Daphnia pulex: one gene and its partner. The protein of the gene in region 2 interacts with the protein of the main gene of each other region in a pairwise test. Links are inferred from orthologs where the notes say so. Each region holds a gene or a part of one and is shown on either strand. Other genes may lie near its edges. The genes, in order: NADH dehydrogenase [ubiquinone] 1 beta subcomplex subunit 9-like and golgin subfamily A member 2-like.

Region 1 (14,460 bases), on a different chromosome or scaffold from region 2:
AGCGACGACTAATTATTTTCCAACCCTTGGTCTATACTATATCATATCTTGGCGAGTTCTTTTTTTCCTCTGTGCTGTGTACGTGCTGTTATTCTACTACCGGATGATGATGACTCTATCCACCAGTCGACTCGACGGGAAATCTACAAGAGCAATTATCCGCGTTTAGTTTTGTTATTTTTCCTTTTTTTCTTGGTAAAATGGGAAGAAAAGAAATGTGTACATGTTCTCTCCTTTCAACTTCATTCACGATTTTTGAAAAATGAAGTGGTAAAGGTCAACTTTTGGGCTGCGTTTATTTTTTACACATTCGGTGTTGGTGACCCCGCACCGTTTTCAGTTCATTTTTTTTCTGTTTAATGGACCCATTTGGGGCTGTTGGGTTATTTTATTCTTTGGGGTACTCCCGCAGAAACCGCAGCTGCGAGGGATCACACGAGCTGCGATGAAGTTGTCAATCACTGGGGTTGAAATTGTAATGCGCGCTGTTTTTTAAAAATGAATAAATAAAATGGTTGAAACCCTGTTTGACCAGGTTTTTCAATTCCCTCGGTGCCACTTGAACAGTTGCCCAGCCCCACCCTGCATAATATGCGGACCGCGTGATTTGTACACAATCGGATTTAGAAACTATGAAATATGCTGCCACTCAACTATCAAAGAGGGGGGGGGGGAGTTTGGATTTCAAAATATGCAATTTTAAAAACGACCCCCCACCTTCTCCTGTTTGTGGTGACATGTGTAGGGATTCCCAGTCCGCCGTTTAATTTTCAACAAATTTTTTTATTTGATTCAGTCTAGTGATTTTGGGGTGTTTCAAGTAGTAGTTTGATTTCCAACAAGAGCTTTCATGAAGCCGTCTTCATTATTTATTTATTTGGGCTGTTTGTGTGATCCCGCGTCGCATTTTCTCAGTTTGCGAGGGAAAATCAGCCACCTGGCGGTCGAATATTTAACTTTGTATTCAATACCGAATGACGCTGCCTAGCGGTTTCCCTGTAAAAAAACAAGGGCTACATTCCCTAGATGCAGGTATGTGTGTAAACAATCTCAAAACAAAAACGCAATTATTAACCAAAAACTCTCATGATTAGTTTGGTTGCATTCAATCAGATTTGCTGCATGTGACATGGAGCCAAGGAACTATAAATGTGGGGATGTGGTTTGGGTCATGGCCGGCAAAAGACTTGGCTGGTGGGCCGGACGTGTCGAAAACGTGGAGGAATTACGCCAAGACTTGGTAGGAGACGTAAACGACAAAACTATTGCTGTCGTGAAATATCTAAATGAAGAAAATTACCAATTTGTGGAAGATGAAGCCATCATTTGTGCCTATGACTCAGACCGGAAGGAAGAATACATATCCATTGGAATGAGTAAGTTTTGGTGCTGGGTTTGCCAATAATTACCGTTTCTTTGTATTCTTTTTGTACAGGGAAAGTGATCAAAACTTGTATGTTCTCAGAACGATTTCATTCCAAGTCTAGTGCCATGTCATTCTTTCATATAGAATCATTACCAGGCATGATTTTAATACTTATTTCATTATTTACAGAAAAATATTTCGAGAAAAAAAGATTAAATGAAACAAGTAGTCCCTTCATAAAATTCGCCAACAATGTCAAACAAGCCGAGCAGTTGACTGGTGGTAACCCTGATATAGTTGATGATGAGAAATATCAACCGAAGAAAGCTGTACCTGCACAGTCAAAGTATATTGAATGTTATGTTACAGTACAAGGCTTTTTTCTTAAATAACCATTTCCCCTTTTTTTAGGTACAAAGACATTTTTGTTGATCCCAGAGTGAAAGAATTGAAACCAAAATCTCCCATTAAAGGGGGAGCAACCAGTTCTCCGCGACGTCCTGGCCGCCCACCTGCCAAAGAAGTCGTCACTCCTAAAGTCAATCACCCTCGCTTTCAGGGCCAATCGGATCACGAAGTGAGAATTAGGAGACAAGAAAAATCGCCTGCTACTGGATCGCCAGGAGTCGGCGAGTACAAATGTGACAGTTGTAGCTTTCAGACTACTCGCCTCAATCTTATGGTTTTCCATAAGAAATCTGAACACCTGAAGAGCTCAAACACTGCTACCACCAGAACACCTACTACTACCAACATCACCAAACAAAGAGCTGCGCAGAAGAGGCCGTTGAATTCGCCAACCAAAAAGACGACTAGTAAAAAGAGTAAGACAGTCGCAGAACCAGAACCTGATGGGGACCTGTTTGATCAAATCAAGCGAAACTTAGAACCCAAAGAGACAACCGATAGCAAACCTTCTCCTCAGTCGAAAACGTCTGTCAAAGCCTCGCCGAAAGTAGCCAAAACTCCTAAACCGCCTCGTACACCTCGATCAGCCAAAGTTGCAACCGCTGCAACGTCGGCCAAAACTCCTACAGTTAAAGCCAATGACACCAAGACACAATTCAATCCGAAGAAGAAATGGCTCAAGTCCCTTCAGAAAGAAGCTAACCCAGAAGTTAAGAACAAATTGATGGCAGATTGGGACGAGGATGACGAGGAAGAGAAGCAGCAACAGATCCAGAGAACAGAAGTGTCTTCAACTAATACGGAGAGTCAAGTAGAGCCAACAGCAGATAGTGATTCGGATGACGACACTCGGCCATCGAAATCCGGCCTCCTTCATCAGAGAAGCGACGACGAAGAAGATGACGACGACGACGCAGCAATAGAGACTGACACACCGATCCTCAAAAGTCCCGAGAAAATCACCCAGGATGATGAAGAGGCATCGAACACAGAAGCGTCGTTTATAGCTGGAATCAGCGCCGAAATAGATAAACTCAATGCCGATCTCGATGCCACTAATCATGAAACACGAAGTTCAAAGATTAACGGCGAACCCGAATCCACCAACAGTTTGTCTCCTAGAAAAGACACGAGCCCAGCATTCGTGAACGGCGTCGAATCGCCATCCCGTGATCCTCAACCTTCAAAGGGCGAAGAAGAGATCAAGCTCGACGTGGCATCTCTTCTAGCCGAGACTAGTGTACCTATTATCCCAGACATAACCGAGCTTAGTAAAGTCGTTGAAAACGAGGTCGGGAAGAGAAAATCCTCCCAGTCAGACGACGAGGAAATGGAACAAGAAGTCGAGAACGAGGAGATCGAAAAATCCAATGCAGAAGCGCCAGTGGAACACGGAGAAATGGATCAAGTGGTTGAGAACGAGATCGAGAAGACCAATTCAGATCCACCAGTAAACGAAGAAGAAAAAATAGATCAAGCAGTTGAGAACGAGATCGAGAAGACCAATTCAGATCCACCAGTAAATGAAGAAGAAAAAATGGATCAAGCAGTTGAGAACGAGATCGAGAAGACCAATTCAGATCCATCAGAAGACTTAGAAGAAAAAATGGATCAAGCAGTTGAGAACGAGGTCGAGAAGACCATTTCAGATCCATCAGAAGACTTAGAAGAAAATATTAATCAAGTTGATGAGAACGAGGTCGAGAATACCATTTCAGATCCATCAGTAAACGTAGAAGAAAGTATGAATCAAGTTGATGAGAACGAGGTTGCAAAGGCCAATCCAGAGCAGACGATGGAGGAGGAAGAATTAGGTCAATTGCAAGATAATGATGCCAAAATTAATGAAAATTTAGAACCTTCAACAAATGCAAGAGAAATGGATCAGGTGGTAGTCGAAGAAGAAAAGAACATTTTCTGTGAAACTTTGTCAGTCGAAAAAGAAGTAACAGCAGTGGCCTTGCCAGAAAACGGAATTGAAACCGTACTGGAGAATGGAGTCGAAGTTGCAGTCGAGAATGAAGAGGAAATTGTGTCCATGACTCAAAATGGAGAGGCAACCGAAGTCGTCACAACCAACGGTGGCAGCAACATTCTGATGCAGGTCGAAGGAGGAGAGACGTACATGGTCGTGTGGGAACCCGGCTCGAATATACATGAATTCTTGGAGTGCGGAGGTGACGGAGAGGATACCGGTGGCACTCAGACGTTGCTTATCGATCCATCCTCCCTGCAGGCCGGAAGTGACTTAGAAAACCTATTTCAGATGGCGGTCGCCGCCTCTGCCGTATCCCAACCTCAACAGAACGAGCAGTCAAATCCAACGTAAGGCCCGTTGAGTATAAAAACCATTTTTTTTTTTCAAGTGTTGTTACTTTTTTCACCAATTCTCTGGAATTCTACGTGCAATCTATATTCTACACTGCGAATTTCCATTTTCTTTTCAATTTTTTTTTGAAGCCTTGAGAATTGTCTGGCACATGAAAGAACACCGTTTTAGGTTGAAAGAGCAAATTTGCACTTGAGTGGCATTTCTACCGTAGCTCTGTTGTTTAATGCAACATTTTCTCGTCTTTATATCTTGATGCGAAGTGGAAAACGATGCCGATAGTGTTGATGATCATGATGATGACCTTTGTATTCCCCACCTCCTACCCTGATACACTCCGAACAGAGATACGACAAAACAGAAACAAGAAAAAAAAAGTAAAATACACAAACGTGTATTGTTTTATTGAATTTCCGAGTCGCAGCCTTGATTTTTCTCTCATTTCCCTTCCATTCTTCTGTCTTTCGGTTTGAACCGAAACAATGAAAATGCTTTCGTTAAAAATAACAAAAAACAAACAACCGCGAGGTGCAGTAGAAAGTTTTTACAAGTGTGGGTCAGTAATTCAGTAGTGGGGTTATTGTGTGTAAATAAAATAACGATGCATTATACCTAGCTAGTTTTGACTTGAAAGTTGATGGATCTGTTTTTTTTTCCCATGTTTTGTTTATTGATTACTCTCTTTGTTATTTACGTATTGGAGGATTTCATTTCATTTTCTTTTAGAACGTCAGTCACTTCCAAAGATGGTAAAAGGTCAACCAAATGTGCGTCTTCCAAGGGTACACCCACCAAGGGTAACTTAGGCATTTATTTATTCATTCATTTGCAAGGGGTTTTAAAAACATGCGTATGTCAAGGTAACAAGTCCCAACTCGCCGAGGAATTGCTCAACAAACATGGAGATGCCGTCAATAAAGGTACAGTATAATAAATTTTACAAAAATTACTGTGAAGTGAAGAGAGCAGAAAGTGCAATTCAAATAATCTGGCAACGTAATTAATGTGAAAGAATTGGAGCCCAATACGTTGGTGTGGTATAAGAAGAGTCCTCGGCTTTTCCTGCCGGGAGCCGTGATCGAGTCGTCAGATCCCAAATCCATGACCCTTCTGGCATTCAACATCGAGCAGCCCAATAATCAGTGCAAATACCAACGCAATCGAGTCATTGCTGCCTTTCACCACGAGCTTAACCTTGAACTTCTGGTATGACGAGATTGATGCACGATTTCTCTTATTTACGGTTGACAATTTTGCTTTTCTTCTCATAAAACATGTTCTGCTCGCAACAGACTTTCGGCAGGACTAGAAACAAAGCAGCCGACCGCCAAAAACTCGACTTCTTCTTCGATCACGCATCCAGTTTCTCTGATTTACGCAACAAACCGAATTTTACTCAACTCACCGCCAGACAGTATTTAACTTCCTGCCATCGCTGTATGTATCAATTGCACAAGAGCATTTCCTTATAAAATGGCCCTTGTTTTTAAATTTGATTTTCCAACATTTCAGCGCCTGTAAAATTGTTTTCCGAACGCTACTTAACGTCATCCCCAGAGATGATGGACCTTTCGTTATTTATGGACAACAGTGATTCTGAAGAAGAGGTATATCTTGGTGTTATTAAACTTTTGTGAATCATTGGTTTCATTTTTGCAATTGTTGTAGACTGTAGTAGAGTCTGAAGAGGAATTGAGTAGGAGGCGAGAAATTGTGAACACGATGCTGGAAAAACATGTTTTGACCGATTCCTGCCTTCAGCACCTTGCTGACTTTGTTGAATCACCTTCAGAAGAGAGGGCCTTCAGGCTGAACCTGTACGAGTCGAAGAGCTGGATTCAGTTGACTCGTTCCGCAACTACATCTGGCATTCTGGAAAACTCACGCGAGGCAAGTATATTTACTGCATTGATCGTGATTGTTTTATTTTTGGCCTCCGGGTGGTCCTTCAAAGACCCCCTGTAACGCGGGAAATATTCTCTACTTTTGGACAAGACAGCGTATAGTTCGGGTTCTGAATAATATGCTATCCGTCATTACTTTCCCTGGCTCGCTGGGAAACGTGACGAAAGTTATTCAGCGACAGGAGAGAGAAAGAGATACCGGTCACGTGATGTTGTAATTACGTGATCATTAGGTCCTGCTGGGTTTTGCGCGGAAAGGTGACATAAAACTTCATGAAATTTTAGACGGTGGGATCGAGAGAAGATGGATGCAATGTTGCTGCTCGCATCGCCGAACATAATCCGCTGCACATGCAACACCCGTGTGGAAATGTTCTTGGCGCTTTTCTGATTGTCAACGGGTGGTTTCACTTGCGTGGGTAAAACGGTTATAGACTAGCCTCGAATATTTATATCGTCGTGAGTTGATACCAGTATTCACCGAAATCGAGAAGGGGGGTTTCATTTCATTTTTTAAATGGTCTCGTCAGCATGATGGATCTTTCGTCATGTACTTGATCTTGTTTCTTTTGTTTTTAGCCATCGTGCAAAACTTGATTTTCAAATTGTGTCACGGTTAAAAGGATAAATGAATCACTCAACGAATATGATTTAATCATTTATACATTTATCCTATGCAAATATGGATTGCGTTTTCTAATCGACTTTCTTCTCCTGAAACGAATAATTTTAGCTATACAGCAAGGTGGCAGATTTTCTCGACGAGAACGTGCATCGTGTCCGAAAACTAAAGGAAGGAATCGACCATAAAAGAGCTTTCGTACTAGATTTATTGATGCCAGAAGTATTTTTCTTGTGTTATATTATTGTGATACAGTTCTTGTTTAACTTAATTTGTTTCTGTATTCCAATAAAGGCTCTAGTCTATGGTGTCCAACAAACATTCCATGTCACATACCAGGAAGCTAAGGAAATGGTGGTCTATGGCTTGAAAAATGTATCAGTCAACACATCAATTTAGATATTTGCATGATTCACTGCTTGCATCAAATTTAATAATAATACCACAGTGTTGTTTCTTTTGAATTCTTTTGACTGTATTTCTGTCTGAATTCTTATCTATTTGTCAATGCCTATACACAGTAATTTGCAGAAATAAATTTTCAATGATGATGATGTAGTTCCTCTGCCTTATTGCCAAACTTCTTTTCCCAGTAGACTATATACTCTTTCTTCATTTCCTCTCTACGAGCAAAATACTCTGGATATTGAGCTTTCTCATCTGGGCTCCAGAGGTCTAGCACCCAGTCAGGAGATTTGAGCTCTCGTCCATAGGCTGATCCTCCTGGTGATGTAGCATCTGTTTTATTTTTTAAAGATGAAAAAATTTAATGAATAAAACAATTAATAAGATCAATTATGATGTTACATCGGAAAGGGTGGCTGTGTTGTTTCTGAAACAGTTCCTCCTTTGTATCCTCAATGAGAGTTTGCACTTTGAGGGCATCGGTTAGATGACGGTTTTCTTCGAATTTCTGTCTAACACATACAGCAGCGTACCGATATGCAGCTCTGAAAAGTGTACAATTGACACGTTAAGACGTTACTATTTCTGACAAAATAATTAAAAATTTGTATGAGTAACCTGTTAGGTGCATATTCAAAGACGTGTTTCAAAGCACTTTTATAGAGTCTACATACTTTTTGAGTATGACCAAGAATCTCAGTTTGGAGATACGCCATCTTGAACCTTCAATTCAGAAAACAACAGAAAAAAACAGCTGCCTAGCAGAACGAAAATTACACCTTGGTGTCATGTATAAGTTTAACCAACTATTTGATCATCATATTTTACTGTATTTCATTTCTGAAAGATATTATAGCATTTAAAAAACCTATAATTTGCACGCATTTGTAGATTTATGTCATTTTATATTATTTATGTAAGTATAAACGAGCATATGTTATTTCGAACTCAATGCAGATGTGATCTCGAGTACTTACAAAAGATTGAAAATTATCACAGATTCATATTTCTCACATAAATCTATTTTTCAATGTAATAAAAGTCGACATAAATCATTTGGTATGAAATAGAAAATTAGAAGTGAACCTTTTCTCAGCTCACCAGGTGGCTCTGAGCAGACGAAATTCTCTTTTCTCCTTAAAATTTACATTTCTCAACGTTGTGTTCTTCAGAGATAGCAGTGAGCAGTTAGTTGCATGAGCTCTAGAGCGGAAGTCTAATATTACTGGGCTACTGTGGAAGTAAAAAAGTGTGTCCTGATTTTCTTCCGTTTCTATTTTTTCAATAGGCACTTTTACTGTGATTCTCAGCGTGATTTATAGAAAAGAAAAAGTTTGACCTGTATTTCTAACCCTGATTGGTGTGTAGTCCCATTTCTTTTATAACCCGCCAATTATTCCAACTCTACTTTCAAGACGAAAATCCATGTCAGACGTACTGAGAATGGCGTAACATCACATATCTACTCTACAGTTTCTCCTTAGTGGAATTAAATGTGCAACACTCTCATCTGGATGATGATAAGATGATATGAAACTGATAAACAAGTAAACCCTGTGTGACTGTGTGTGAATGTGTGAGTGTGTGGGTTGATTAGGGCACAGGATTAGGATTCACCCCTGATTTTTTGGCTCTGCCAAACAGAAACCATGGCTACGACAACGAAAAGAGCGTGGAAACTTCGTAAGATTTTGATCTTTTCTTCCAACAACCTTGCATTTTACTAGATCTTTCACAGAGATTGCCAAACTTCTTGCTGTCGGTGTGCCAAAAAATCGTGATGGCCACTTTCTTCTTTCATTCTTTTTTTCACCATATGCATTCTACACCTACAACTAATTTCCATACTGTATTCTTATTTTGTTTTGCAGAAGAGTTTTCTGCCCATGGAGCCAATGTGAATTGCTTGGCCTTAGGAAGCAAGTCAGGACGAGTCTTGGTCACCGGGGGAGATGACAAAAAAGTCAATTTATGGGCAATTGGCAAACCATCATGCATCATGGTAAACACAATTACATTTTTACAGTTTCTTTAACCATTGAGGTTTTGTTTCAAGACAAAAGTCAACAAACTTAGATTTCCCAGCATGTTGGATGAACTCTGTTCACCTGAGATTATTCGAGAGACTGAAAAGAAAACCCATGACCGTTTAATGGCAGGGAACTTTTGATTCACTGTGTGCATTTCCTAATTATATCTCAGAAAATAGTAGATGTTGGGGAAAACAAAGACTTTTAGTGGGGTGTTGAAGGGGTGGGAGATCACCTGAAGGCGTAATACTTGGGAGGTCGTTACGGGTCTCCACCGGAAGCTCGACCGACCGTGTTTCTCTCTTCTTCATCGGTGGGAAAAGCAAGAAGCAGCAGTAGAATTACGACAGTTTCTTTTCTTATAGTCGGTTCGCTGTATCTGTTCTCTCTTTGGCTGTCGAGTAGAAGATTTTTCCTAATTCATCGGCTCCGGATCGGCAGACAATGCGTCTCGAGTCATCATCCAGAAATGTAGCCTTCGGCTTTTGGGATACTACAAAATAGAATAGAATAAAAGGCAAGAGGGAGAAATAAAGTGGGGGAAAGGCCCATCTTCCGCCGCGGCTGGCCAACAGCGCGTTGCGAGGAAATACGAAGGCCAATTGAAGCGTCAAATCGACCGTCCGGATGGAGGACGCGGCCTCTATTATTGCAACAAGGGCTTAATTCTCAGATGAACATTTTGGCAGCTGATGAACAATTGTCTATGTTTTTGCTTTAAACGGGCAACGTGCGGTTGTTCTATAGCTCATCCTCGGGCCACAACGGGAAAAAGTAGTCAAGACAGTTAACTTTTTCCCATGGCTGCTTTCTTCTTTTGTGTATTTCAGTTTTTTTTAATTTCCAACGAAAAGATGTTCACCTTTTCCAATCCGTCAACCCGCAGTGTTCATTGTCTAGCAGTATTGACGAGCGTTTCTAGCGTCATTTACCATCTGCCCTTGACGTCGGGCATTCAATCTCTTGTTTTTTTTAGTTTCATAGCGTGACATTCTCCAGAGGTTTCCTAAAAATACAAAAGAAGCGGAATTTGAGCCCAGGTTTCTTTGAGGGAAAACTTAAACTAAAAGGGAAAGGCCTTCCGCCATGTTGGAAATCATGGTATATGTAATCAAAAGGTAAATAGAAAAGTGGATGCTGAGTGTTATTCACAGATAAATACGAAAGTGTTTGCTTGTATCTGCGCCCTCACTCTCGCTGACCGTTGGAAAATTTGTCTTGGATTTGCATAGAACAAGCCGTTAAACAGGAGAGTCAAGTTCCATATAGGGCATAGTAAGACAGCGCCCTCGATTCAAATCGACTCAACCGCCAGCCCTGTATCCATGACGACGTCGGGGCACCCTTCTTTCTTCTCGTGTCACGCTATAGATTCTGAATCTTTTTTGATTGAGGCTATCGACATGCAACTTTTGTTTCGTGCGTGTTACTTTTGGTATGCTCGACTATGTTTGTTTTTCATACGTATTGTTTCGTACTTGTTTCCGTTAGATGGTTCAGCTAGGAGTTGTTAATAAGGATGCATTACCTCATCGTCGTCCTCGAGCGTTCAGCTAGCTGACTTACGTACAACCCACACGTATGCTGGCATTTTATTTTTTTACTGGTTACCAGCGAGAAAGAAAGAAAGAGAGAGAGAGCTTGACGAACATTGCCTTTTACGGAAGGATCTCCTGTCTGCGCTGTAGCTTTCGTTTTTTTTTTCTTTCCTTTTTATTGTTTATTTTCCAGCTTTAGAACGTTAGTTTAGCTGTATTATTGAATGACAGAATTCCCTTATGCAAGTGAATCCTGATTAATTAGGCCTACTTGGTCTGCCAAGGTTGGCATAGCAACCACGTCGTCGTTTTTTTCTGCTCTCCTTATGAAGAAAAACAGCAACATCTGCCATCCGTGTCTGCCAAAAAATATGCCCAGAAAAATCGTCTGTCGGATGTTTCCCTTCTGATATTTGCAACGGACGGTGCCCATTGTTCTTTTAATGAGCTGTAGAACAGGGGGTGTATAGTCCAATCATTTTATGTTGTTTTGAGATACGTGAATGGGTTAACGGGTTTGTTCGGTTCTTGTTGGATGGTCATTCCGAAAGCCGTGTGGAACTAAACGTCGGTAGTTTTTTTTTTCTCTCCTTTTGGCTTGCGTCTATTTGTGTGGGAAACGTCGCGAGATTATTCCGCTGGACTGCACGATTTAGACCGTTCCAAGACGTACAGGTCGTGGCTCAGTAGCCTGCGGGCCCGGTTCGTTTTTTGTCTTTCTTTTCTTTTCTTGTTATCCGCCCTCCGAATCCCGCTGCTGCTCCCCGTCGTCCGTCGTAGTCGTTGCCGACAATCAAAGGGGTCAAGGTAAATTGAGTTTGTGTGTCCATGTCGGGATAACGCAAGTGGTACGGACCACTTTTTGGGCAGTTTTTCAAGTTTGAGATACACCACCCAAAACAATTCAAGATGATCTCTGGAAACACTCGTGATTGTGCGTGATTTTTTCGGTCATGACACAAGTGTGGTGTCACGTGCCGCCTATTCCTGATGAGGCCTTGGGCACCTCTCCCGGCTCTTTCTCTTCTCCCGTCTGCATTTCATCTCGGAAGAAAGTATTATAACAGTAGCGAGTAAAGCTCGTCCTTCACAAGATTCCCCTTCGTGCTTGGTGAAACCGAACAAAAAAGGGCAGACCAACAATTCTCGGAATGCCGAAATACAAGAAGATGTAAAGATGGCCGTGATTGAAACACATTTTTCGGCTTTGTTCGTGAAAACATAAATTTTTACCGTGAAGAACCTATTTTTTTCTCTTTCAAGAAAATCATAAAAAGAAAACATTATGTTTCGGATGGAGTGGATATCTCTTGCCAAACGTGGGAAAAAGAATTTGTCGTCCTCTATAAATGGTTTTTCTTTTTTTTATCTATTTAAAAAAAAAAAAACAGAGTCTGAGTGGCCATACAACGGCTATTGAAGCGGTGAGATTCTCTCCAACGGAAGAATTGGTGTGCGCGGGAAGCGCTGCTGGAGCTGTCAAGGTGTGGGATCTGGAGGCGGCGCGGATGGTGCGCACGCTGACTGGGCATCGGGCTGGCATCAAAGCCCTCGATTTCCATCCCTACGGCGACTTTCTCGCCACTGGCTCAACAGACACCAACATGAAAGTAAACCTCCACACATTTCATTATTATGTTTTCTTCACTCATCAAAACTCCTTTTTCGTCCTGCTAGCTGTGGGATATTCGACGCAAAGGTTGCATTTTCACGTATAAAGGACATAGTTCGACCGTCAATAGTCTGAGATTCAGTCCCGACGGTCAGTGGGTGGCCTCGGCCGGTGATGATGGCTACGTCAAGGTATTTTCGGTTTTCCTCGTTTCCTTTTCTGTAAAAAAGGAAAAAAATGGACAATCAAGTCATCAGTTTGTGTTTGATTGCTTACAAAAAGATATGGGACCTGAGAGCTGGCCGACTTTTGTCTGAGTTGCGTGAACACACAGCCGCAGTCACTGAGGTCGTGTTCCACCCGCACGAGTTCTTATTGGCATCGGGGGCCGCTGACCGACGCGTCCTCTTTTGGGATTTGGAGAACTTTACGTTAGTCTCTAATTCCGATCCAGAAACAAGTGGCATCAGGTTCGTCGAATAAATTGTTCGTATAGAAAACCAATGGACAGACATTAACATTTTGAAATATGATTCTTAGATCGATTTATTTCCATCCGGAGGGTAAATGTTTATTCAGTGCAGCTCAAGATGGACTGAGAGTGTATGGATGGGAACCTTGCCGTATCCTGGATTGTATTCCACTACCATGGGGTCGTATCCAAGACATGGCCGTCACCTCTGGCCAATTGGTAAGAAATGTTCAAATTTAGATGGATATCTGGTTTTTTATATCCCCTGTTTTAAATTACAGATTGGTGTCTCGTATAACTTGAGCAACGTGTCGATCTACGTAATCGACCTGAAGAAAGTGGCACCCTTCGGTGATTCTTTACAGACTTCTTCTGGCCTCGGCGGAGGAGGAGTTGGCATCGGAGGAGGAGGAGGCGGAGGAACGGCATTCCAGCACGGCGTATCTTTTCGCAAGAGTTTCAACAAGGAGCGACCGCCGGGTGGTTTGCGCCAAAGTCAGATCAAGATGAATCACGACACAATAGAGTCGGATGAAAAGTCGAGCACTGAGACGGAAGACGACGGCATCGCTGCAGACATTAAGGACTTGAACCACTACCACAACATCTTTCAACCTCGTGGTAGAGAGTGTAAGTCTGGAATGGCTTTCTTAGTTCGTTAGTTCTTAGGTTATTGTGTGCGTTCACAGGTTTTTTGCATGTCGCACGACATTTTTCGGAAAGGTACTTTTCATCATTTTGTGGTTATCGTCTTACTTAAATGTTGTTCCAGTTACCTCAAGTCATTCCAAATTTGGTTCTTGTGTGCCGTGTCAAAATGCGCGCAAAACTCCTTATTTGTCATGTTTCTTTTTGCTACAGTCATGTGAGTTAATGGGTTTTTTTGTGAACCGTAAAGTGAACAAAACCGCCATTTATCGATAGGGATATTTGTCGAAAAAACAAACTTTCTAAAGTCCTTAACTGGAACAACGTGATTTTTGTTATTTTCATGTGTTTCTTGGCATTTTCAGTGTCTCGCACCCCCCCTCCGCTCGAGATCAATTCGGACAAAGAGTCAAGCACGGTACTAATCGGCGACAAAGTGAAACTGGGTGAGTCGATTCAACACAAAACAACAACAAAAAAAAAAGAAAGCAAAAGCTTTGGCGTGGGTGGTGTTGGTACTTCTTGGTTTGCTCTGGTTTCCCATTTTTGTCCAGAGGCATGCGGTTGCGGTCGCACCTTGTTTTTTCTCGTTACATTTTTTTTGTTGTTGTTCTCTTTCTCGACCACAGTATTAAATTTGTAAAAAAAAAGAAAAAATCGTAATTTGCTTTCTATTGTTTTAGATCCAGCCATTCCGCAGGTTATCCGTCCTCCGCCACCTGATCTGGTTCAGCAGCATTCACCTCTCCCTACACCGGCATCGGGTAATAGTCCGGTTCATCGGCCGTCACCTTCACCTTCGCCACCTTTCGTTAAAACGTCACAGAGTGGACCCGGAAGACCGGCTGCGGGTCTCACAACTATGAGAGAAAGACGAAACAGTACATCATCGGTAACTTTGTCGTCTAACAAGACCATCGCATCTATCACGAGCGTAGAAAGAGGTAAAAAAGTGTTCGAGTTTTCTTGGCTTTCTCCACATCTGCTCAATCCCTTGTCCTTATTTTCTCTTTGTAGAGTCCTATAACCTGCATACACCGACCAATTTAATTGCCATGACGTCTCCACGTCCGGACGTGACCCACTTAAGTGGAGGCCCGCCCGTTTTACCGCCAACCGGGCCGCA
Region 2 (15,919 bases):
CGCCAATATTATATAATTCAAATCAAGTCCTTACTTCGTGTCATCCGTCAAAATAACTCTTTTAGAACAAATAGCATTTAACTTAAATAATCTCATGCAACTGAATTTTTGTATGGTCATAAGATGAAGCTGACTTGTGGAATGAATTTCTTGATAGCGTATTCACGTGGTACTTTGAGGGGCTGAATTCGGTTGCTCACTGCATAGAAAAGAGGGTTGTATAGAAATGGATAAAAAAACAAGTCTTATTCCGAATCAAGATTAGATTCTTAGTGAATCATCAAGCATTTAAATTAAACTTATTTAAACTACATTTCATTCTTGATTCGGAGCAAGACTCTTCTGCGAGAAGCTTTAGTAGTAGGGTAAACATTTACCTGAAAAATGAAAAAAGACTAACAAAAGTAGCTTGATTGAGAGTAGTGATACACGTCTCATGTCTCATCCAAAGATTAAGAAATTGACGAAGAAATTCTTGGAGTTTCTTTCGTCGATCTTCCACCGTTTTTTCTTCGCGATAACCGAATTTTTTTTTCGGCGGAAAATGAATTTCGGCGGTGAAAGGGTATCGTTTACTCATTTCTTTGCGGAATTTATACATTTGTGAGTATCTCTTGAAAATAGTCCACTCAGTATCACCCATCCGAATGTAAACCTGAATTTCAATCGGCGACTGAAATATAACCAAAATTCTAGATTGGGAATGAGAAAAATTTGAAAAACCTGATAAACGTGATGCGAATCAACTGTTCCTTGAACTAGAAAAGTAGATGGGATCCAAACATGAATCCAGGGGCTTTCAGCTGATGAAGCCAAATTACACAAGTGACTATTATCGTCATTATTCATAGCATAATCAGAAGGCAAAGGGCCGCGCAAATGCACCAATTCAGTTCTTAAGCGGTCGGCAAATCGTTCAGCTGCTTTCAAACTACACTGAAGGTGAGAGTTGAATTCCATCAATTCACCATGCATTTCAGCAACCTGAAAACCAGAAATTTATTTCATTTTAACTTCAAACTATGAATCAAGTTGTGTTCAGTATTTGCCTGAATCAGTTTTTCTTCAAAATGGCCAGCTTCTTGGTGGTAATCTGGAGGAGGAGAGGTGGACGTTGGTGTAGGAGCATTATTAGCTGAATTCTTCAACATCTGAACAGCCCCCATGTAGTGCTTTAGTTGTTCTTTGAGAATGGAATTTTCCCTAAAAAGAAAATTTCATTTTTCTTTCACCATAAAATATGAAAATTTAACCTATTACCTCGCATATTCACCATTTTGTTGCTCGGCTACCTTTAATCGATCTTGAAGATCCTGCTTCTCAAGCTGAACGCCATGAAGTTGTAACTGAAGGGATGATTTTACTTCTTCCAACTGGGTTTTCTTATCAGTGAGATCTAGGAGCATTTGTCTCATTTCAGATAGGTTCATGTTGGAGCGCTTCGTTTCCGCCAATTGTGCATCCTGCGAGTCGACGGATTTGATGCTCGGGCTACTTCCGGTGTGTTGGAATATTAAGGATGGTGTACTGCCACTTTGTGGAATCGTGATTGCTGCACTATTGAAAGCTTTTGCGGGCTTTTCATCTTCTTCATCATCACTCTCGAAATCAACAACCCGAACTTTGGATTTTTTTTTTCGTTTTGTTTGCTCTTGTTCTGCAACTGGCATCTTAACTGCTTGGGGTTCTGGGCGAAGACTTTGTATCATCAATTTCTTAGATTCATCAACTTGGTCCAGCTCTTTGCGATCAACTACAAGAGCAAATATCACAGAACGCAAATCTACAATAAAATATTTTAGTCTTATTGAATCAGAGGCTGAATAAAGCACCTTAAAACCTTTTGCTGAAGTAAGTAAACACTCTCTTGATGAGGTATCATTCATCAGAGATGAGGATTCATAATAGTTAAAAAGGAGATTCTCATCTGAGAAAAGCATCCGCAAATAACGATCAAGTGAATGCTCATTGATAGCTGAACGCAGCCATGCTCTTCCTCTTCCATAGTCTGTGCTTACATTCTGAATGTTATAATATCTTTCTTGTTCATGTCTTGTCAGATGGTTTCGCACAAAGTGCCAAAAAACTAGGTAATAGCAAGAATTTGTTAATATAAATCAACCAGTATGTTTATATTCATACCTCATACCTGGTATCTGTTGGTCTGCCTGCCCCACTGGATTCATTACCATGCTTATTCCATTGGAAACTAATTCGGTAACATGTCTGTTTAAATACACAACATACTAATTACTGTGAGGGCACGTCAAATTACTAGAATACCTTAAGCTGAAACTGTTGACATTGAGGTTTATGCTCTTCAAGTTGACTCCATTCTTTATTTTCAAACCATCTTGAAGTATAAGTTCGAAGCCATTGATAACTTTCATTACTGACGGTTCAGCTTCTGTAGCTAACAAAGTTCTTCCTCCAAATTTCTTTTCACAAATTTGGACATTATCCCGAATGACTTTAATAAGTTCATCGCGGTATCGAATGTTTCCACTTTCCCACATTGTAAGGCTTTTTCAATAATTTTTAGGGGGAGGGTTTGTTTACAAAATGAAACACTAGGTCACGGGCACAAATGTCTTCGTAAACCGAGAGCGGACAGTTGTTGCTGGCCGTAGTTTTAATTTATCATTTTTCTTTCGATTTTTCCCTTCGATAAAAAAAAGGTAAATCAATATTTTGTGTTTAACGGTATGAAATGTTTTTATTAGTTGAGACAAATTCATGAGAAATGAAATTGCCTACGTAAAAAAAATAACGTAAACATGGCGATGGTGTCATGGTAATTACAGCGGTAACAGATGGTAAATAAATAGAATTCTTAATCCTTTGAAATTTTATTTATTAATTGCATAGCTATAAATATTTAATTTTCTATGTGTTCATCAGAACCAAAAATTTAGCCTAAACAGAATGGATGTTTGTTGTTAAGTATGAATTTATGATCGAATTGGCATAATTTGCTGGTAACATTAGAACTGGCATTGTTGCATCTCCATTTCTCTCGACTCTCTTTCTTGTTAAACGAAGTCTGAGGTAAGTTTCTTTGCTTGTTCATCTGTTCTCATCGACGAAACGTAATTTCGTAGGTTCTTGTTTATTTGTTTCTTGTGTTCGTTGTCAAAGCCAAGTAGTGCTCATTTTTTTTCGAATTTCAATTCATAGCTTGCATTTTTTTTTACAGGAATCAAGATGGGTCGTCGTCCGGCTCGTTGGTGAGTAGAATCATGACTGGCTATTTGGTATGGCTTTTAACATGTTGGTTTATTTCTTAGCTACCGGTATTGCAAAAACAAGCCATACCCCAAGTCTCGTTTCTGTCGAGGTGTCCCAGATGCCAAGATCAGGATTTTCGATTTGGGCAGGAAGAAGGCTAGCGTAGAAGACTTCCCCCTCTGCGTTCACTTGGTTTCCGATGAGTACGAGCAGCTGTCTTCCGAAGCGTTGGAAGCTGGTCGTATTTGCGCTAACAAGGCAAGTACCTAGTAACATGTAGTATCTAAGACAGTGAGCTAATATTATTATATGCATTGCAGTATTTGGTGAAGCACTGTGGTAAGGATGCATTCCACATCAGAATGCGAGTTCACCCTTTCCATGTCATCCGCATCAATAAAATGTTAAGTTGTGCTGGAGCTGATAGGTACTATCTATTGATTTATTGGTGTTTCGTGTGCTACAAGTGTTTTCTTAATTTTAGGCTCCAAACAGGAATGAGAGGTGCCTTTGGCAAACCCCAAGGTACTGTTGCACGTGTGAACATTGGACAGCCCATCATGAGCATTCGCTCTTCTGACAAGTACAAGGCCGCTGTCATCGAATCCCTTCGTCGCGCCAAGTTCAAGTTCCCTGGTCGCCAAAAGGTATTTTCTTTGTGCATGAATTTGAGATTGCAGTCACTTATTTCTTTTGTATATAGATTTATGTTTCCAAGAAATGGGGATTCACCAAGTTTGAACGTGGAGTCTATGAGACCATGAAAGAGAATGCCCAGCTTGAACCTGATGGCGCAAACGTCAAGTATCGCCCAGATCACGGTCCTCTTACTGCTTGGTATAGATGGCGTACGATTTTCAGCCAACAGTAATTTGGTTGTCCAATCCATCTTTGTTATTCAATTACCATCTTTGAATTTTTTCAAATAAGAATAAACAGAGGTGGAATTCAAGAAATGTTCTTATGATGTATTTAATGGAATAGTTAGATATTCATATAGCAGTTGCAAAGGCACAATGGGAATGGAAATTTTTAAATATTGATAATTCTTCCTGAATACATAGGCCAACAAGGGTGGAAATTTTCGTCAGTCTTGCGGCTTAACTGCTCCAAAGGGAAAGTATCCGGTTGTGTAGCAATTTCGGTTGTCGATAAACTGCAATCTGTAATTTCCAGTAAAACGTCAACAATCCTGGAAGCAACATGATCCAGCGAATTTTCCACTTGATTTTCTACATCCGGGTCGTTGGTACCAACGATGGTTAATCCATCTTCACAATTGGCTATAGGTTCAGATTCAGACTCGGGCTGTAGTTGAAGCCACTGAGGAAACTTTTTCAACTGCGGAGCCAAGTAAGGTAAGAGAAGTGTCAATTTCGTTATCCGTTCCTTTAGTTTCTGACGTTCAGCCGTCAACTGCTCAGCTCGTCTACTCAGCAGTCCGCGCTGCACTTGATACAGACTGACATATTCACCTGTAAATCATGTTGAAAATGGTCAAGTCCTTAAAAACTAAAGGTTACAACAACTGTTACTCACCAATAGTTTCTGTTTCACTCTGCAGCTGTAGAACCAAGTGATCTAGTTTCTTTTTTTCTTCTGTCAAATCAGATACAGTAGCCATTGAACGTTTGAGTTGCTGTTCGATTTGTTCGTAATGAAAAAGAAGTTTTTGGTGTACTTCATTAGGCACCCAGTCAGATTCTCCTTCTACAATTGCAGTTTTGAGTTTTTAAAAGTATATAGGCTTCAGTTAGGTACAAAAGTGTCATACCGCTTTCGGATGAGGAATGTGAATGGTCTTCGTTAACGTCTTCGTGATCATGGCGGTGTTTCCGGCTACCTCGAACTGGAGCTTGATTCAAATTCCAGATTACTCGTTTTTTTAGTTCGGCATTTTGATGCGAAAGCGCCTGAATTCTTTCCTGTATCAAAACGGTATAAATCAAAAGTACCACAGCGGAATGTAATCAAATTACATACATGAGCTTCTTCTAACTCCTGCTTCCAATAGATTGTCGCGTTTCTTTGACCGGCCAAGTCTTCCACCTGTTGCCTGGAATAATTTCGTTTTTAATATCCAATTTACGCTTTCTGTTCAACTTAATTTTAAATTGTTACCTTAATTGAGTAACCTCTGGATCTAAAATCTGCAATTTTTCATTCATCTCTTTATTCTGACGAATCATCATCTGCGATTCTTCAGTAAGTATTAGTTTGTCGTTACTCTGCAACAAATTAACATCAATATCTAAATTTAATGACAATCACGAAAGCGAATTTTACCAGCTGAATGAAAGCTTTTTCAAGTTCTTCGAGTTGCATTTTCAACTGGCGATTCTGTGAAATAGCGCGAGAGGCTGCGGACTTATCACTTTGCATAGCCTTAAATTTTTCAGTGGCATAAACAAATTATTGAATAAAGATAAAGCATTTTTAGTATAATACTTGCAGAAGTTTCTCTCTTTCACATTGATCTTGATTAGCCGTTGCAATGGTCAATTCACTTTGAATGCGATCAATGCGGATTTCAAGTTCTTGAATTCGCGATTCCTTTTCTAGTGCCAGTTTAACTAGTTCTTCGTTATTGAACTCCTTTGAAAATGCAGTGAAAAAATTGTTAGATACTATTCAAATTAAAAATCGATAGAAATAAAAATTTCAACCATTTCAGTTATCTTTGTTTTCAACATGGCGATTTCCGATTCAGATTGTGGTGCGAGATGCGACTCGGCAGGCGTAATCATTTCATGGGGAGGATGAGATGAAGACGCAGTTTCTTGATTGTTCTTAAGAACAGCAATTACTGCTTCTAATTCGGCCAACTCATCTTTTTTGGACTCCAGAGTAGCTTCTATATTTCTTTTTTCTAAGGCCAGCGACTCTGCCTAAAAATGTTATTCAATATATAGTATTTAAAAAGTACCCACAAGTAATTCAAATAATAAGTTTTTCTTGATAAAAGTACCTGTGAACTAATCGTGCGTATCTGTCCGTTAAGTCGAAGAATATACTGTTGATACTGTTGGGCTAGTACGTCTTTCTCTATCCCAAGCGTTTTTATCTGTTCTCGTAGATCACCGATTTCTTCTTGGAGTTTTCCGTTTTCCTTTTGCATTTTTTCAAGGGTTTGATCAACAGTTGGTGGACCCGCGTTTTTCAACTATGTCATACAAAAATTAATCATTGTAAGGTTTTTTTTAATTTACAGAAATGATTTACCTGCTGCATATTGACATTGAGTAATTCTACTTGAAGATTGAGTTCCTTGATAATGGAATCTCTTTGATTGATTTCAGCTGCTTGATTGTTGTGATGCATTTGAAATTGTTTGAGTTCTTCACTAACCTCACTGTAAAGCTGATTTTTCAGACACAGTTCTTGGCTAATTGATTCAAGTTGATTTGTTAATGCAACTAAGTTTGACTCCATCTTTCCAGTTTCCTCTGTAGTAGAAGCTTGTAGTTGCAAAAATGAGGATTTAGTAGCATCAAGCTCCTTTTTCTGAAACATATTTTCTTCTTCCAGTTTTTTCACTGCCTCTTCACTTTGGGAAAAACTTACTGCCAGTTCATTTTTTTCTTCTATTAAAATAGAAACAGTATTTTTTAATTCTTCTTCTCGTATAATTTGGGCTGAGACGACTTGTAGTTTTTCTTTTGATTTCTCTTTCTCTTCTGTGAGTAAGTTTCTCTCCTCATCCAATTGAAGTTGCAATTCTCCAATAAAATCTTTTGAATACTTGAGAGATGAAGAGATGTCATTCTTTTCTCTTGTCAAGGTTTCAATTATCTGCAGCAATTCAGATTCCCTATTTTTATCAAAACTATTGGGCTCTTTGCATAGGATTTCGGAATCAATCTTTAGCTCTTCACGTTCTGTGTTAAGATTATTGGGAACCGGAATTACAGATGCGGATTGATCAATTTCACTCTGATGAGGTAACTGCAGTTGGCCCCCATTTGTAGTAGCTCCTTTGGATCCACCTTTCTGTTGAAACTGCTTCAACTAAAATTTAAATGAAATCGTTTAGGATTTTAGTGCAGAGGAAGTATTTTTATCAAAGAAATAAGAAATATAGTATGTGACTACTTTTTTCTTTGCTGCGGCTAATTTTTCTGCCTTGTTGGCATCCATGTTGTCGGTATCGTAAAGTAAACACGAAACTGTACGGACGAACGTCGAAGTGTTGTCAAAACAATTCCCGGTCTGGTCTATAATTTTACCCCTAGATGGCTCATTCTAAAATATAAATGACACTTGTTTTGTCCCGGTAAATTCAGTTGCAGTGTTTCGCTTGAAAATACAAGTGTAGGTGTACTGAAGATGGCTAATTTTGCAAAAGCTATAAGCTAAACATTTTCACGAATTCCAACTTTAAGATTTTGGTGAGACACAGCAATAATCTCGGGATTACTTGGAGGTATCCCACCATATCCAGAACCAGTTACACGATCAAAGGTAATTTCAAATTTGGGATTTTTTTCATAAGAATAATGGGTAACAACGTCGTCCAGTTTATTGTTAAAGAATTGTGCAGCTGCAGATGCCCAGACACGATCCCTTTGTGAGGATAAGATGTCATTTGAGACTTCTGCATTATTGTAGTACTCGTTATTCTTCAGGTTGGTTTTCCAACTTGCAATTGTGATGTTTCCTATCATTGAATGAATGGAATTAAGCAATTGATTAGAGTTGCTGCATAATTGGTTTAAATTTATACCAGTAGTAAGATCAATTGTGTCATCCTGAGTAAGATAGTGGACAGATACTCCTTCAAAATTAGTGGTCTCCGAAGGAATAACAACAGTGTTGGTGACATCAGCTATAAATACTCCCCCACGTGTACCAATAACCTGTAACAAACAAGATCATACTGTATGTCCATAAAAGTTAATATTAGAATGTAATTTGATTGCTAAGAGTTCTAGATTTTCGATACTTTTCCCACTGGCCGTGTATACAGATCCAAAACTAGGAGAGCCATGTCTTCATCTAGTCCAAAACCTCGAGTAGTTCCTATATCGCGATCTCGTGAATCTTGCAATACCCTGCGTTAAAATAGGGTATGAATTTGTGATGATCAAAAACGTGCTTTGAAATAAAACCAAACCGTATAAGACGAGCTTCTCGACCGCGTTCACTGAAATGTGTGTCGGGAAGCCAACCAGCTAGAAACCCCAATCCACCATACTCATCGTAAGATAATTCGTCTGGGCGAAGCGGATTGTATCCGCCACTAAAAGCACCATAGGTTAATCCATCGTAACTTGAACCCCCCGTAATCATTACCGTATCGCTCTAAATCGTACAAACGTACTGTATCTGAAATATTCATAATTTTAAAATGGTCGCACAAAATGTTCACCAATTTTTTACCAGACAAGCGGCTCCGGCGCTCGTTCCTCCTACAGTTGCACCTGCTTTTAGCATATCTTTCACAGCAGTAAGAACGAGAGTATCTCTGCCTCTAGGACGAAGGGCTTTCAAAACCCTCGATTGATCACCACCACCGAAGAAAAATCCAGTTTGTTGTCTTGTTAGTTCGGCTACAGATGGGTCGTTGGCGTTATTACTTGATTCAGTAACTGGAATGTACGTTGCGTTTGCCGCCCCGTATATGTTGACAAAAATATCAATATAATAGGCTGCCGAGTCTTCAGGATCTGCGGATGCCGTAGTAAAGACACCGATTCTGGCCACACCTCTTCCTCCCTTTTACATAAAATTTCCGTAAAGTTTATTAAACATTTTAAATGGTCACTTGAATGAAATTGTGTGTATACCGCAAGCTCGACCACTTTGCCCCAAATTGCTTCATTTCCGTCGTTTAAGTTTCCACCGACCAATACTAAACTTTGAGAAGCAGCAAAGTCAACAACTATTGTGAGAAGGGCGAAAACTAAAAAACCCATCGCAAGTTTTCAAAATTTCTATCTTTTAAAGAAACGTGCGTATAGTACTGATCGTTCGATTCGTCAATTCAAGCTCTGCGTAATAGAAATTTCCGTTCGATGTTTTATACGCAGTTCACTGCTACTTTGAGAAATGGTGATAAAAGATGTCAACTATAGTTTAGACCCAAGTTTTTGAAAAATTGCTTAACCGTTTGTCTAGGCAACGATTCCTTATTCAAAGGTCGAATCAGACTGGAGTAAACATCCACCTCATGTTTACCCAAACGCAGTTAGATATAGATAATAGCAGTGTTAAAACGCAATCCGGGTGTCATGGTGAGTTGAAAGTGAAATAATTATCACACAAAACTCGTCACGTTAGGTAAACGAAGAGTCGAACTGAAAAGGAGCTTAATCGTCTATTTACCTGAATTGTGGTATCTTTTGACCTTTGTATATAGTTAAATAAGTACTGTATATAAATAGATAAAATTACAAAATAATGATGTTCGGTTGTATCATCTTTCCTTTAGTTACTTATATAATAGTCCAACATCCATTAAGTAGAGTCTACAAAACTTAAACCTTAAAGAATAGAAATTGTGCTATTCGAGTTCTGCACTAAGTATATCAGTATATTTATGATGCCACATTCAAAGAGCGGTTATAGCTATACAGTTTCTCGAATACCAACTTGAAGATTTTCGTGGGACACTAGATAGGTTGTAGGATCGGTAGGAAGATGCCCACCATATCCAGCAGCCGTACGACGATCGAATGTGACTTCAAATGACGGATTTTTTTGAGAAGTAGTATGCGTAACCACGTCATCTAATTTGTTATCGAAGAACTGGGCCGCCGTAGATGCCCATTCACGGCTCTTCCTGGCAGACAAAATGTCACTTGAGACGACAGCATTGGTGTACACCTCTTTCCCTTTCAAAGGATTTTTCCAGCTGGCAAATGTGATATTTCCTAAACATTCACCAATTGAAGGAATGAAACAGTTATCTGTCTTATACGATTGGGCTAGAAATGTTAATTTTACCAGATAAAAGATCAATCGAGTCATCCTGCGTGAGGTAATGGACGATGACTCCTTCGTAGTTAGTTGTTGCTGATGGAGTTACAACTATGTTGGTGACATCAGCCACCAACACTCCTCCAGTAATTCCAATAACCTTTTGCCAAACGTTGTTATTAATATTTCAATGTTTAGTTAAACGATGCCATTCATTTTCTATACTTTTCCAACAGGTTGAGTGTACAGATCCGTGACTACGAGTGCCATGTCTTCATCAACTCCAAAACCTCTGGTTGTTCCGATATCGCGGTCCCGGCTATCTTGCAGGACTCTAATAAGGTAAATTGTGAATGATTAGTAATTGAAAACACTAGATTTGTACTACAAACTCACCGAATAAGACGAGCTTCTCGACCACGCTCGCTAAAGTGTGTGTCGGGTAACCAGCCAGCCAAAAATCCCAAACCACCATGTTCGTCGTAACAAAGACTACCCGGATTATCTGGGTTAGGTCCGCCACTGAATGCTCCGTATACCAATCCATCGTAACTTGTACCGTCCGTAATCATAACACTGTTGCTCTGAATCAGTCGAAGCAAATTTAAGTTTAAATTAAATATCTGGTAAAATTTGATTTCAATTTTTTTTTAAAGTTGGCTCAAATGTTACCAGACAAGCGGCTCCAGCACTTGTTCCTCCTACAGTTGCGCCTGCTTTTAACATTTCCGTCACAGCGGCAAGAACGAGCGTCTCTCTGCCAGCAGGTCGTAGGGCATTCAAAATCCTCAATTGATCACCTCCGCCAAAAAAGAATCCAGTTTGCTCTCTAACTATATCGGCCAAAGCAGGATCATCGGCGTTGTTGCTTGTTTCAGTAATAGGAATATACGTCGCGCTGGCCGCCCCGTACACGTTTACAAGCATATCGATATAGTAAACCGCCGATCCTTCAGGATCTGCCGATGCCGTAGTAAAGACACCAAATTTGGCTACACCTTTACCTCCCTTTCAGAAAAAAATTTAATATTAGAGGAAACTAAATTTAATTCTTTTAAAAATAAATCGTATACGTACTGCAAGTTCGACAACTTTATCCCAGATTGGTGCATTTTCGTCCGCTAAGTTGCCACCTATGAATACGACACTTTGTGGGGTGGCAAGACCAACCAAAGTTGCCAGCAAGGCGAATGATAAAAGAACCATCTCAACTTCTCAGTGAAAAGCTATTGGTCTCACAGCTCGATCATTTACTACTCCGTTTCGTACAAAATTTGGTCGACTGTTTTATACTACTTTTGATCAAGGAATGGTGATAAAAAAAAGATTGAAACATTTATTTTTGTAACTGTATGTCAAAAAAGTATTCAACGACTTTGCTCTCGCCAAGGTCCTAGAATACGAAACGTCTGAATACTTTTTTCATTTGTACACGGATCAGACCTGAAGTAAACAAACACTGACTTGTTTACCCACACGCAGTTGGGCAGATAACAGAGTTGCAATGCTATCATGTTTTCGTGAGTTGAAAATGTGAAATAACAACAATATGGTACGGCTAAGGGACGTGTTTACCCAGTGTCACATTCTGGGTTTTGTAGTTATTTACGTCTAAGTTCAGGCGATTAGTAGTAAGGTAGTATATTTTTATTCGTCTTATTTAAGCGCGTTAACACTGACAAGTAAAAATATGTCTTTTATACTCTCATATGTTTCCTTTTTTAGCTAGAAGATTTCAATTTTCAAAGTTTGAAATAAAATAAAAAGAATCCGATCATTTTGATTTTGCAGATAAACAACTGAATCAGTGTATTAGTAAACTACTGTAGAGCCCCTAAAGCTCATTTTCGTGTGTTCTAGGAAAGCGCCAAAAGCCTATGTCACATTTAACCAATAGTTGTACTTTCATGGATTGCAACTTGGAGGTTTTCGTAGGACACAACGAATGTGCTGGGATCGCTAGGAAAATATCCGCCGTATCCAGCACCATTCAGACGGTCAAAAGTAACTTCGAATCGGGGATCCCTCTCGAAAGATAAATGAGCGATGAAATCATCTCTTCTATTGTCAAAAAACTGGTCGGCAAAGGTAGCCCATCGACGATTCAAATTTGCGGATAGAATATCAGTGGACACGTCGGCGTTCGTGTAATATTCGTTACCTCTCAGGGGAGACTTCCAACTTGCAAATGTGATTTTTCCTAATATCAAATTGATTACGTTAACTTGTGCCCAAATTTATCCACTTGAAAATGTTGATTTTGTATACCAGTGGTGAGATCAATCGAGTCGTCCTGAGTTAGGTAGTGGGCTGAAACCCCCGTGTAAAAAGTATTCTGAGATGGAACAACCACCGTGTTGGTAACATCAGCAAAAAACACGCCTCCACTAGTACCGATAACCTATTTGTCAATTGCTGTAAAATCTTTTGAACAGAAACTGAAACTACAAGATGTTTTCCATCATACAGTTCCGACAGGTTTTGTGTACAAATCCGTGACGACAAGGCCCATATCTTCATCCACACCAAAGCCTCGAGGAGTTCCGATATCACGGCCCTTGGTATCCTGCAACAACCTGTTGGAATTTTTTTAAATATAAAGGTAAGATGATTTTTATATTTAGTAGCTAGAGACCAACCGAATGAGGCGACCTTCTCGACCACGCTCGCTGAAATGCGTATCAGTTACCCAGCCAGCGTCTAGTAAACCTAGTCCACCCTTTTCATCGTAAGTTAGGTCATTTGAACGAAGTGGTTTAGGTCCTCCACTGAAAGCCCCATAAGTCAAAGCATCCCAACTAGCGCCACTTGTGATCATGACAGCCGAGCTCTAAAATTCAGTTATACAAATTTCATTCTTTAAATGAAGTAGGGGTCAAAATGTTAAATCGAATACTTGGCAAGCGGTCCCGGCACTGGTTCCTCCCACTACTGCGCCAGCTTTTAGCATATCTTTGACAGCAGTTAGAACTAGCGTGTCTCTGCCGTTAGGACGAAGGGCTGTAAGAATCCTCAGTTGATCGCCTCCACCGAAGAAAAATCCAGTTTGTTGTCTTGCCAGTTCGGCTACGGATGGGTCGTCGGCATTGTTACTAGTTTCAGTAACTGGAATATACGTCGCGCTGGCCGCCCCGTACACGTTCACGAACATATCAACATAGTACTCAGCCGCTCCTATGGGATCTGAAGATGCCGTAGTGAATATCCCGATCTTGGCCACACCTTTCCCTCCCTTGAAAGGAAATTAGAAATTAATTATAAAATTATAGACATGCACATACTGTACTCTTGTGAATTAGAATTTGTTATTCGTACCGCAAGCGTGACCACTTTGTTCCAAATTTCGGCATTTCCGTCGGTTAGGCCGCCTCCAACTAGCACTAGGCTCTGAGAGGAAACAAGGCCCAAAAATGTTGCCGTTAGAATATTTAATAATAATAGTTTCATCGCGAACATAAAACGCACTACTGAACGTTTAGGTCGTTAGTTCCCTACTGCAGATTATATCCCCTAAATGTTGGGTTGCGTGAATAATATTTGACAAGACAAGAGATAGTAGGCTAATGGAGATAATCAATTTGACGTCAAACTAGTTGCATAAAAATAAAATAAACAAAAAACATTCGAGTTTGTACGAGTTTGTACTCGATGTTTAGTTCATATACAGTCAACGAGAAATCAATTCGTGATTATTTCAACATGGAGAAGGCGCAATAAGTTTCGATTTTCTTTGCTTTAATCGAATCATGTTGCTACACGTCTATGAATATTGTACCTCCACTTAAGTTTAGAGGCCTGTTGACTGTTGAGGATATGTAATCATTTGAAAGGAATACGGACACAGTGACGTTTGCAGATGTGTAAATATTACAACGTTAAGCAAGTTTACTTTTGTGTTGCCTCTTGCTGTCTAATCATCAGTAGGTAAACATGACAAAAAAGCGAAAGAAAGATATGAAGTGAAACGAATGAAAACGAATTTTTGTTTGTTTTATTAATTTTAATTTTTTTTCACTACAATTTGCAGTGACAATTTGAGGAAATAATGCCACGCCCCTGCTCATTTCATCAGAGCCTCTTGAGAAATCACAGACCAGAAACAGATCTCCGGTAGAAATTTGAATAAGGTAGGTGGTTAGTAAATCGTTATTCATTGTAGACATGAAACACTGATATGATAGTTTAGACTTATCCATCAAAATCCGATTTTATTCCCAACATACTGTAGCGACATTCATTTTGACAATAATTTATTGTTTTTTTAAAGAACAATAAGTTATACAGTAGTTTTTCCTGATACTGCTTGGATTAGAAAAACAAAAGAATATCATATTTTCAGAATTCCGGATCAATTTCTTTCTATTTAGTTTAGGAGGATATAAAAGTAATCGCATTAAAAATCAGAACAAGGTGATGTCTGGCGAGTGGCGACAGATCTAATATCAATACAGAAACGCTAGACAAACTCAAATAAGGGTACGAAGTTGATCTCTTGCCTTCAAGACAGTCTGTGGGCAAGCAAAAAAAAAACACAGCGAAACCAAAAGTCACGTGAAATAAAACGAACAGAGTAGAAATAAAACGAAAGTTTGGAGGGGTAGGGATTCCACGTTGGATGAGACCGTCTATGAAATGCAATTAACGCGTTGGATTTCTTTATTGTCGACACATTTTTATGTAGATAATTTCCCTGTTATTATGCACATTTTCAGTAACTATGACTTCACGATGGATTACACACTCCCATTTTCCTGTAGCAACTGAGCGGACTCTTGTTTAACGATTGTTTCAGATTGGTTAACTAGATCGTCATTTTGTTTTTCTTCTTTTAAATTCGTGATTTCATCTCCAGTTTCTTCAACTTTGACAGAGTCCACCTCCGCATCTTGTTTACTACCTTCCCCACTAGCGTTGGCGGAGTTGTTGGTTTGGCAAGGAATTGGCTTCTCTTGGTTTTTGTCTTTTGTTTTCTTGGCCTTAGGCTCGGCTTTATTTTCCGGGTGTGAAAGTCGTTTGCGTGTTGTACTGACTGCACGAGCCCCGAGTGTCCACTCTCGTTTTGTAAATTCTTCCTGCCACATTTCCTTTTCACTTAGCGGTTGACGGGTAGGATCACATTTGGGATCGTAAGGCAACCAAGGGGTGTTCAATTCTTTGAGCAGTAACTTCATCACGTCATCCACATAAGTATTGATGACCAGATCGGCTTTCTTGTCCTAAGAAACCAATAAAAAAAAGAGGAAATTCAAAATGAACGGCTAAATAAGTATATTTTATAATGAATTACCCATTTTGTAGGCTGCAAATTTATGATGACGAGACGGCCTCCTTTACGTTTCGTTGCTAATGGTAGTGTACCACTGGGGACTATTTGCAAAGTTGTTCCCAAGCAAATACTTAAGTCTGCGACACTTTTAGTTTCAAAATTAAATTAGTGAAACTCTTCATAGTTATTCAACCAATCCAAATGACTAACTTTGAATGAATGTCTGCCAATCCTAAATCTCTGGTTGGTAGTTCGTGTTCCCAATCAAGTATAGTGTCGTGTAGCTTTCCTCTACATGAAAGTTTGCCTCCTTTCAAGGCAGGGCAATCAACTGGTAATTCCCGCTGACCTACAGAAGTTACGGCTTTTCGGCGAATGTACTGCCTGTAAAGCAATATCGATTGTTATAAACACATGGCCATGCCCAAGTTTGTTTTCTTGTTCCTTACCTAGAACACAGGCTACATTGTCCGATGAACATATTGCCATGCAGCTCTGAGAGTTTTG

Evidence for each region.
Region 1: the proteins of golgin subfamily A member 2-like (region 2) and NADH dehydrogenase [ubiquinone] 1 beta subcomplex subunit 9-like interact in a two-hybrid assay, tested with the Drosophila melanogaster proteins (2 studies listed by BioGRID). The link is inferred for Daphnia pulex from reciprocal best matches to the Drosophila melanogaster genes GM130 and ND-B22.

The regions. Positions count from the first base shown.
Region 1 is NC_060020.1:1,140,203-1,154,662, reverse strand, and holds NADH dehydrogenase [ubiquinone] 1 beta subcomplex subunit 9-like, read right to left. Parts: upstream 7,812-14,460; 5' UTR 7,751-7,811; coding exon 7,653-7,750; intron 7,580-7,652; coding exon 7,437-7,579; intron 7,368-7,436; coding exon 7,171-7,367; 3' UTR 7,083-7,170; downstream 1-7,082. Other genes in the region: uncharacterized protein LOC124192399, read left to right, coding at 975-1,032, 1,095-1,376, 1,556-1,712, 1,778-4,099, 4,830-5,023, 5,116-5,309, 5,396-5,540, 5,616-5,710 and 3 more; katanin p80 WD40 repeat-containing subunit B1-like, read left to right, coding at 8,684-8,717, 8,906-9,036, 11,994-12,212, 12,280-12,405, 12,497-12,684, 12,755-12,905, 12,968-13,316, 13,700-13,780 and 2 more.
Region 2 is NC_060017.1:7,939,574-7,955,492, forward strand, and holds golgin subfamily A member 2-like, read right to left. Parts: upstream 7,502-15,919; 5' UTR 7,366-7,501; coding exon 7,321-7,365; intron 7,237-7,320; coding exon 6,451-7,236; intron 6,392-6,450; coding exon 6,197-6,391; intron 6,117-6,196; coding exon 5,895-6,116; intron 5,824-5,894; coding exon 5,677-5,823; intron 5,614-5,676; coding exon 5,515-5,613; intron 5,457-5,514; coding exon 5,350-5,456; intron 5,285-5,349; coding exon 5,212-5,284; intron 5,154-5,211; coding exon 5,003-5,153; intron 4,939-5,002; coding exon 4,768-4,938; intron 4,704-4,767; coding exon 4,261-4,703; 3' UTR 4,176-4,260; downstream 1-4,175. Other genes in the region: sorting nexin-29-like, read right to left, coding at 163-199, 378-655, 724-984, 1,050-1,203, 1,261-1,783, 1,841-2,086, 2,150-2,226, 2,284-2,516; 60S ribosomal protein L10, read left to right, coding at 3,205-3,227, 3,288-3,486, 3,549-3,655, 3,713-3,875, 3,932-4,099; cyanophycinase-like, read right to left, coding at 7,581-7,885, 7,952-8,084, 8,171-8,279, 8,342-8,529, 8,608-8,943, 9,015-9,143; cyanophycinase-like, read right to left, coding at 9,796-10,100, 10,174-10,306, 10,372-10,480, 10,543-10,730, 10,819-11,154, 11,224-11,352; cyanophycinase-like, read right to left, coding at 12,033-12,346, 12,415-12,547, 12,614-12,722, 12,786-12,976, 13,043-13,378, 13,462-13,602; NAD-dependent protein deacetylase Sirt6-like, read right to left, coding at 14,880-15,362, 15,434-15,557, 15,623-15,796, 15,862-15,919.